Macaca fascicularis: one gene and its partner. The protein of the gene in region 1 purifies or fractionates together with the protein of each later gene. This does not show direct contact. Links are inferred from orthologs where the notes say so. Each region holds a gene or a part of one and is shown on either strand. Other genes may lie near its edges.

Region 1 (4,340 bases):
TGGCAGCACCACACCCGACCTGGGTTGGCCCACTTCTTCCCAGGACACCCCTGGCCAATTCAAGGAGGTCTCTGGAGTTCAACTAGCAGGTAGGGTGCCTGTCCTCCACTTTCCTATTCCCAAGCAGCAGGCGAACTCTGTGGATCCTTACAGCTTAGACCATATTCTCTGAGGTCCTAGGGTCCCTGAAGTCATGTAGGGGTGTTCTACTGGCACTCCTGGGACAGATTTCAGTGCCCATGCTGCACCAGTCCTTCCACCTTGCCAGTAAGAGAGATGGTGTGGCTGGAAACCTTGAACAGTTTCTTGATAAATTTTCAATCAAGGCTGCCAGGTAACGAGGGAGGGGGTGTTGCTGGAGATTCCAGTCAGACACTCCACTTTCTTTGCTCCTGGCTGCTCAGCTCAACAAGTTCAAGACACAGCCACCTCAGTGCCTGAGTAAAATATGCTCAGGGGATGTGCTAGGCCTCTAAGCACCTTGGGAAAATTCCTAGGATGCCCAGCCCAGCTGTGTTTCCAAGGACTCTGAGTCTGCAATTGAATTATTACTGTCTGCCTTCCCCGACAGTTGCTCTAGAGCTAGGCTGGTGGAGTTGGGGAAAGGGCCGGCAAGTGAGAGTCAGTAGTCCTAGCTGGAGGCTTGTCTTTCTTCTAAACCGCTCTTTGAAATAAGAGGATTCATTGCCCTACATAGAAAAAAGGGGGCTGGACCAATAATTACTTATAAGACTTCCAGCTCTCCAAACCCAATCTGCCCTGGCTCTAGTCCAGACCTCTAGAAAGAGTGTCATCCCTCTCCTTGGACAGAGGTGCTCTTCCTCAACTGTAGTGACTGTAGCTCTCCTCTCCCCAACGCACAATGAAGTCACCTTGCCAAGGTTTCCTGAAGGTCCATTTTTTTTAATTGGCTTAAAATCTCACCCAGCAATCCCTAAATAATCTAATATACAAAATATAGACTTTTCCTTGCTGTGAAATCTCATTAATAAATACAAATGTGTAAAACGGCGCGGGGGGGGGGCATATAATTTACTGTACCAAACTTGATTTCAAAAGACATCATATAATTTACAAACCGATTAAAAAAACAAAACAAAACAAAAAACATGCGCGGTGCTCCAGGCACCTGCAGCGCAGCTCACGTTTCAGGCGCAGCTCGCAGGGAGGCTGGGGAGGTGCTCCCTGGCCGGGCTGGGCTTTCCCAGTTCATAGCCTGGTCTTCCGCCCCGGGAGGGCAATGGCTCCGAAAAGTGCACGAGGAGAAGGCAGAGGGTCGCCTTCGTGGCTTTAAGGCAGAGTGAGGCGCCCTGAAACGCCGGACCTGATTGGGAGTAGAGAAGATCGGCAGCGTCTTTGGAGCAGGGCAAGGGGAGCAAGCGCTGAGAGACCAAACATTGGATTGAATCACATTGGAGGAGGGGTGGTAAGAGACTGAGAGACAGACTTGAGTGAGGGTAGGGCGACCCGAGACGGTAGGCGGCTCCGGCCGGGTAGTGCTACCATTCTCGTACTCTTAGAATGAGATTATGGCGTGGTGGCAGGGAGGAGGCCTAAAATGAGCGAAGTTTGCAATGCCCACTTCGCGCGGGCAGCAAGGGCTGCGTGAGTTGGCGCGGCTCGGAGGGCCGGGGAATGAACCCAGCCTGCAGCCCCCGCGGAGGCCTGGGCCAGCCAGGGGTCAGCCAGTGAGAAGCAGAAGGAACAAGTGCTTTTGAGGGTCGCCGCCATCGGCCACCCTCTAGGGCTCCGGCTCCCTCCCTCTCCCTTACCCTTGGCACCCACAGCCCAGCGACAGGCAGGTCCCTTCACAGAAAATCTGAGAAAGCCAGAGTGCTTGGGCGCAAGCAGGCGGAAGAGGTGGCCCCCCGCAGCCCGGGGCGCTCCTCCAGCGACGCGGCGGGGCTAAGGCTGCCAGCCTGGGAGACTGGGGAGTAGAGGGACCCCCAGTCCCCGGGGGATCCGCCTTCTGGGCTGCCCAGCTCCCCGCAGTGCGGCGCCGGCGACTCCAACGCGTAGAAGCTGTGGTCCGCTATGCGCAGCGTTTGAGTCAGTGCCCAGATGTAGTTGTGGGCGAAGCGCAGCGTTTCGATCTTGGTGAGCTTCGCGTCATCTGGGAAGGTGGGCAGGACACCGCGCAGCGCGTCCAGCGCCGAGTTGAGGTTGTGCATTCGATTGCGCTCGCGGTCGTTGGCCTTCTTGCGCCGACTCCGTCGCTGCTTGCTTAGTGCCAACTCGCTCTTAGGCCGGCTGCGTCCCGCGCGCCGTGCCCGGAGCTTCCTTGGCGCCCCTCGGCAGCCTCCCCCTTCCGCCTCCGCGCAGCTCCCCCGTGTGCGAGTGGGGCTGGGCGGAGCGGACGTGGGGCAGGTCACTTCGTCGTCCAAGGCTCTGGGGAAGGACCGCTCCGTCTCACCGGTCACTTGGACAGTGGACGCACCCGAGGGATGAGGCGTCATCCTACGGCGGGGTCAGAGGGAAGGGTAAGCTTGAGTCTGTCACTGGGCGCAGTCCGCGATTCCAAGGCTAGGTGGAAAAAAACAAAAAGAGCCATCCTCCCAGCCCCCGTCGGGTCAGAGGATCCCTCTTTCCCCTGCCCGTCCCTCGGCGGCCTCCAAATGTTACCTTTCTACCGGCGCAAAAGAATAGAGAGCGATGAGCAGCTAGGCCGTGGGGAGCTGAGCGGGCTTCTGGTCGCCAAGTTCAGCTGAGCTGCAGGCGCCCCAGCCTGGGAGTTGCCCCAGCCCAAAGGAGAAAAGAAGAGAGAATGGGGTCCCGGGCCTCTGTCGCGCTCTCTCTCGCGGCGCGGAGGTGAGACCGCGGCGATTTCCTGAGCAGCAAGTCGTGTGCCCCTTGGCACGCTTTATCTGCTTGGCCCGGGCCAGGAGCGTGCCTGCCCGGCTGCTGCCCGCGCCACCGGCCAATCAGCTCCAGGGCCCTGGGGCCGCGCCACGCGAGCCCGCTCCTCCCCCGCAGGGCACAGCTGGATTCCGGACAAAGGGCCGGGGTCGGGGGAGGGGAGCGCCGCTCTGTTTGCTCTCTCGCCGCGGGCTGGGTCCCAGCAACTCTCAGTTCCTCAAAGAGCCTCGCCCAGTGAGAAGGGCCTCGTGTGGCTCTCGTCTGGCCACCCCAGACCGCTTTGCTCCTAGCCTATCTTTACTTAGCATCTGTCCTGGAGGGGACTTTGATGCCTCTAGTGTACAATGCCCACACGTTACACATGGGGAAATTTAGGCTTAGTGAGGGAGATGGCTTGTCCGAAATCGCATAGCAAGATAGTGGCGGAGACAACCAGGAGCTCGTTGTCCTGACTAGCAGCCTGGAGAAGGGTCCAGGAATTATTCTAAAGTACGCCCTGCTCTCCTGGTGTTTCACTGCCTCTCTTCATCCTGGAAGACAAGGGCCATCACTGAGAGAGCTCCTGCCTATGTCCCTTCCATTCACAGACCTTCTATTGGGGGTGTCCGAGCCTCTGCCACACCCTGAAATGCTACCTCACCCTCCCCAGAGGCGCTTAGAACCCCACCCCCATAGATCTCACTCCAGAGGCAGCGGGTGACTGTGGGGGGGACCCCTCAAGGGGACATTCCATTATTACAAGCCTACTACAGCTTGTGGATAGTATCCCAGCATTCTGTCTAGGAACCGTGACAGGAAGAGTTCTGGGAAGTGTGAGGAGGGGAGGAAGGAACCAGGAGTTCACAGTGAGCTCTTGCGTCTTTTTTTTTTTTTTAAACAAACAGACAAAAAAAAACAAAAACAAAAACAAAAAACCCAAAAAACAAAAAAAACAAAAACAAACAGAAAAACACCAAAACCAAAACCAAAAACAAAACAGGGTCTCTTTCTGTCACCCAGGCTGGACTGCAGTGGTGCAATCACGGCTCACTGCAGCCTCGATCTCCTAGGTTCAAGCTATCCTCCCACTTCAGCCTTCTGAGTAGCTGAGACTACAGGCGTGCGCCACTGTGCTCGGCTAATTTATTTTGTATGGCAGGGGCGGTCTTGCTTTGTTGCCCAGGATGGTCTCGAACTCCTGGGCTCAAGCGTTCCTTTCACTTCAGTCTCCCAAAGCGCTGGGAAGCAGAGCCGCGGCGCCCCTCCCCCTTGTGTCTTTTGAACCATCACGGTGTGCAGGCACTGGGAGAAGCAGATAAACTTTTTCTCCCCTTAGTCCTTCGGTCCAATCACAGACAGACAGCGGCTGCCAGCAGTCACCTGCTCCACCCCCCTGCCTCGGCATCACTAGGGCATCGCACAGTGAGCACAAGGTAGGGACTCCCCAAGCCCCTGGGGTTGCCCCTGGTAGCGCTCTCTGGAAACCTTTCCAAAGGGAGTCTGAA
Region 2 (4,227 bases), on another chromosome or scaffold:
AGATGGGGAACAATACTTGCAAATCATTAATTTGGTAAGATCACTATACCCAGAAAAACTAAAGAATTCTTTTTTTTTTTGAGACAGAGTCTCACTCTGTCGCCCAGGCTGGAGTGCAGTGACGTGATCTCGGCTCACTGCAACCTCTGCCTCTGGGCTTCATGCCATTCTCCTGCCTCAGCCTCCTGAGTAGCTGGGACTACAGGCGCCCGCCACTACACCTGGCTAATTTTTTGTACTTTTAGTAGAGACAGGGTTTCACTGCATTACCCAGGATGGTCTTGATCTCCTGACCTTGTGATCCACCTGCCTCGGCCTCCCAAAGTGCTGGGATTAAAGGTGTGAGCCACCGTGCCCGGTCAAAACTAAAGAACTCTTACAACCCAACAATTAAAAATGTAAACAGGCTGGGCAGGGTGGCTCACACCTGTAATCACAGCACTCTGGGAGACCGAGGAGGGCGGATCACGATGTCAGGAGTTTGAGACCAGCCTGGCCAACATGGCGAAACCCCATCTCTACTAAAAATACAAAAATTAACTGGACGCATGCCTGTAATCTCAGCTACTCAGGAGGCTGAAGCAGGAGAATTGTCCGAATCCGGGAGGCAGAGGCTGCAGTGAGCCAAGATCGTGCCACTGCACTCCATCCTGGGTAATAGCAAGACTCCGTGGGGTGGGGAGGAAGCTACAAATTGTATGATTCCATTTATATGAAATGTCCAAAAGAGGCAATCCATAAAGTAGCTTAGTGATTACCTGGGGTGGCTAGAGGGAGGAATAATGAGTGACTGCTAATAGGTATTGTTTGGGGATTGACAACAATGTTCTAGAATTAGGTAGTGGTAACCGATGCATAATTCTGTGAGGACTAAGAACCACTTAATTTAATAAACTTCAATAAATGGGTAAATTTTATGCCATATAAATTAAATCACATTAAAGCTGTGATTTTAAAAAAGAATTACATATACATCATAAGGTCAATTATAAAGAAAATTCAATTTATTTATTTATTTATTATTTTTTTGAGATGGAGTCTTGCTCTGTCCCTCAGGCTGGAGTACAGTGGCGCCATCTCGGCTCACTGAAACCCGGGGGTTCAAGCGATTCTCCTGCCTCAGCCTCCTGAGTAGCTGGGACTACAGGTGCTTGCCACCACACCCTGTTAAAATTTTTAGTAGAGACAGGGTTTCAGTGTTAGCCAGGATGTTCTCGATCTCCTGACCTCATGATCTGCCGTCTCTGCCTCCCAAAGTGCTGGGATTATAGGCGTGAGCCACTGCACCCAGCCTCAATTTAAAAATCTGGAAGATGACAAATGTCTATCTGTGTAATGAGATTATGGATGACTATAATGCAGAAAAGTGTAAACACTAACAGTTTAGGAGAAGGTGGGGCACCTGACTTAGGTCACAAACTCCCCGCCTCTGATGGCAGCCCTTACTACAGTGGAACCCCATCCTGTTACATATAAGTTACATGCCTTGCATTTTCACCCAAGCTAAACATTAGAGAGAGCAGGGTGCTACTGTATCAGCGCTGTAAATCAGAGATCAAACAGATTCTGTCAGTACTTTTTTGCGCTACATTTTTGTCTCCTTAGTAACCAGCCCACAGCAAATTTGTGTTCAGTGAATGGACTGCCTGGACCTTATGAAGCTGTCCAATTGAATCCTTCACTCTCTTGAAAACCATTTATCCACACCTGAACTCAAGGCTCTTCTAGGGATGACCCAGGACGGGTCTTGCAAGGTTAAGGGAGTCGGTGCCCTGGGATCCCCAGACCAGTACTTACTTTTCCCCGGCAACTTTCCGCACTAATTTCGCTTCTGTCCCATTCAGTTCCAGCTCCCAACCTCCAGACATCTTAGGGAGGGTTTTATGCTTCTGGATTTTTCTTTCCTCCTCAATTTCATCCTTCAGGAAATCAACAAAAGCTTTGTCTCCTAGAAAAGAAATCCATATACATAAAAAGGAAAGCCAGTTAGTCTAAAACATAAAACTATTACCCTGGTTATCGCAGCCAGAAACCTGGACTATTTCTAATCTCTCTGCTATTACAGTTACTCTAGAAGCCTCAGTTTCCTTATCTGTAAAAATACCATAATATTAGTGGGAAGCTGAGCCTGATGCTGGAAAAGTGATTTCCAACAATGAACGCATTACCACTTTCCGCTATAAAGCAGAAGAATTTCCGATCATCCTCTTCCACTTGCCAAACGATAGTTGTATCGTATGCTATTTTCAAACACGACCTTGGGCTTTCCCAAAAGTCCACTTTCGAGAGAATAAGACTAAGGATGAAGGTACCCTCTAGTATTTAATTTTATTCACCCCCCTACCAACAGAAAATGAAACTGGTGGATAGGGGAGGTGGGGGGAATATGATCACACGTGGGTTTAACCCGCTGGTTGCCAATCAATGGAAAAATGTCCCAGACCTCGGAGGTCGGTTGCAGGCCCCACTCCTGGTCTTTTCCCCTCCGTGAACCGCAAACCACACCCCTGGCCCGCGTGCGCGAACCTCACCTTCAGTGTGCAGCAAGCCGCAGCCACAGCCACAGGCGCAGGGTCCTCGAGGCCGCAGGAGGCCCGGCCGCCGCTCGGAACCTGCGCGCACGCTGAGCAGCCCGAAGGGCCGGGCGCACAGCCGGGGCGCCGGCTGCAGGAGCTGCCGGAAAGGCGAGGCGGGCGCGGCAGCGCGGAGGCTGGGGACGGCGGAGCCCAGCACACGAGGCACGCAGCGCAGCAGAGGTAGCATCGCGCAATCCACTGCGAACACGTGCAGATGCAAAGGACAATCCAGGCCCAAGTACCCCGCGACCTAAAGCGCCGCCGGAAGCCCCGCCCTTGCCCGGAAGCGCTTCCCGCGCCGGCGCACTGAGGACCTAAGGCCCCAGGCGGAATCGCGCCTTCTGCTGGAGGCCTCCGGTGCAGCCCGGGAAGCCTCGAATCCGGTTTCCGGAGCCTTCTTGCTGCGCTGGCCTGAGTCCTCTGTCCGAAGCTGTTTAATTCTTTCTAGTGGCCGCTTCCACCTACTGTTTTCAAGGCACGCCAGGCTTTTGGGCTGTGTGGAATGCACTCTTGTCTTCCCCCAGCTCTCACCAGCCCCTTACACGGTCACTTTCCTCTAGGAGGCTGTGGTGTTATATTATGTATTTATTGGTTTTCATCCCCAGTTCCTGGGTCGTAACTCCCATAGCCCTCGTTACAGTGTTCTGTGATAATGTTGGGTGTGTTAGGCCTCAGGAAACAGACTCTCACTCTCCCCTTCTCCCGCCCTCCTTTCACCCGCCCCAATGCAGGACTCTAATCTCCCACATTTCTGATTATGGGTCTTAAGTCCCTTCCCAGAGAAGGTCCCACCCTATGCCCTGGGGGAAGGGATGCTGATGTCCAGAAGCTTCCATAAAAACCCATGAGGACAGGGTTTGCAGAGCCTCTGATAGCTGAATACGTGGAGGTTCCTGGAGGGTGGTGGCCCAGGGACGGCGAGGAAGATCGGAGCTTCTTCCCCACTGCCCACCCTGCTCATCTCCTCATCTGTATCCTTGGTAATATCCTTTATATGAAACCGGTAAAAGTGTTTCCCTGAGTTCTGTGAGCTGCTCCAGTGAGTTAATACAACCCAAAGAGGGGGGTCGTGGGAACCCCCACTTGAAGCGGGCTGGTCGGAAGTTTCAGAGGCCCAGACTTGCCATTGCTGTCTGAAGGTCGGGGCGGTCTTGGGGACTGAGCCCTCAACCTATGGGATCTGACACTGTCTCATGGGATCTGACACTGTCTCCAGGTAGATAATGTTGGGATTGAATTGGAGGACACCCCGCTGGTGTCTGCTGCTTAGTGTGGAGGGAAAAAACCCAAACCTTTGGTCACAGAACTCTTCTGTGCTGATTGTTGTAAGAGCAAAGGAAGAGGTCAGGGTTTTCCTGAAAGAGGCCTTCCTAGAACCTCCTTTTTTCCATCGGCTTAGAACTCATGCTTGTGCGCACCCAGCCCTTAGGCTTCATTCTCTTCAACAGAAACCTCCTGGCATTGCTGGTTTTAACCGGGTTAAACCCAACCAGACTGTGACATCCTGAAGGGCAGGATCCATGAGTAATTTCTGTGACCTTCCCTCTCTGCACCTCCGACCCTGCATCCAAGTTCTAATGGAACATCATTTTTCTGGGGACAAGAAGCCGGCTTGTATCATTTAGATAGGTCCAGAAGCTTCCATAAAAAC

The links. Proteins that work in one complex are often made in the same cells at the same time.
Region 2: the proteins of NEUROG3 (region 1) and C1QBP purify together in Homo sapiens (affinity purification with mass spectrometry; 3 studies listed by BioGRID and IntAct, counting the BioPlex papers as one, with this or other methods). This does not show direct contact. The link is inferred for Macaca fascicularis from reciprocal best matches to the Homo sapiens genes NEUROG3 and C1QBP.

The regions. Positions count from the first base shown.
Region 1 is NC_088383.1:76,857,971-76,862,310, reverse strand, and holds the start of NEUROG3 (neurogenin-3), read right to left. Parts: upstream 2,837-4,340; 5' UTR 2,457-2,836; coding exon 1,809-2,456; 3' UTR 1-1,808. UniProt on the Homo sapiens protein: Acts as a transcriptional regulator. Together with NKX2-2, initiates transcriptional activation of NEUROD1. Involved in neurogenesis. Also required for the specification of a common precursor of the 4 pancreatic endocrine cell types.
Region 2 is NC_088390.1:5,502,423-5,506,649, forward strand, and holds the start of C1QBP (complement component 1 Q subcomponent-binding protein, mitochondrial), read right to left. Parts: upstream 2,859-4,227; 5' UTR 2,764-2,858; coding exon 2,532-2,763; intron 1,949-2,531; coding exon 1,798-1,948; intron 1-1,797.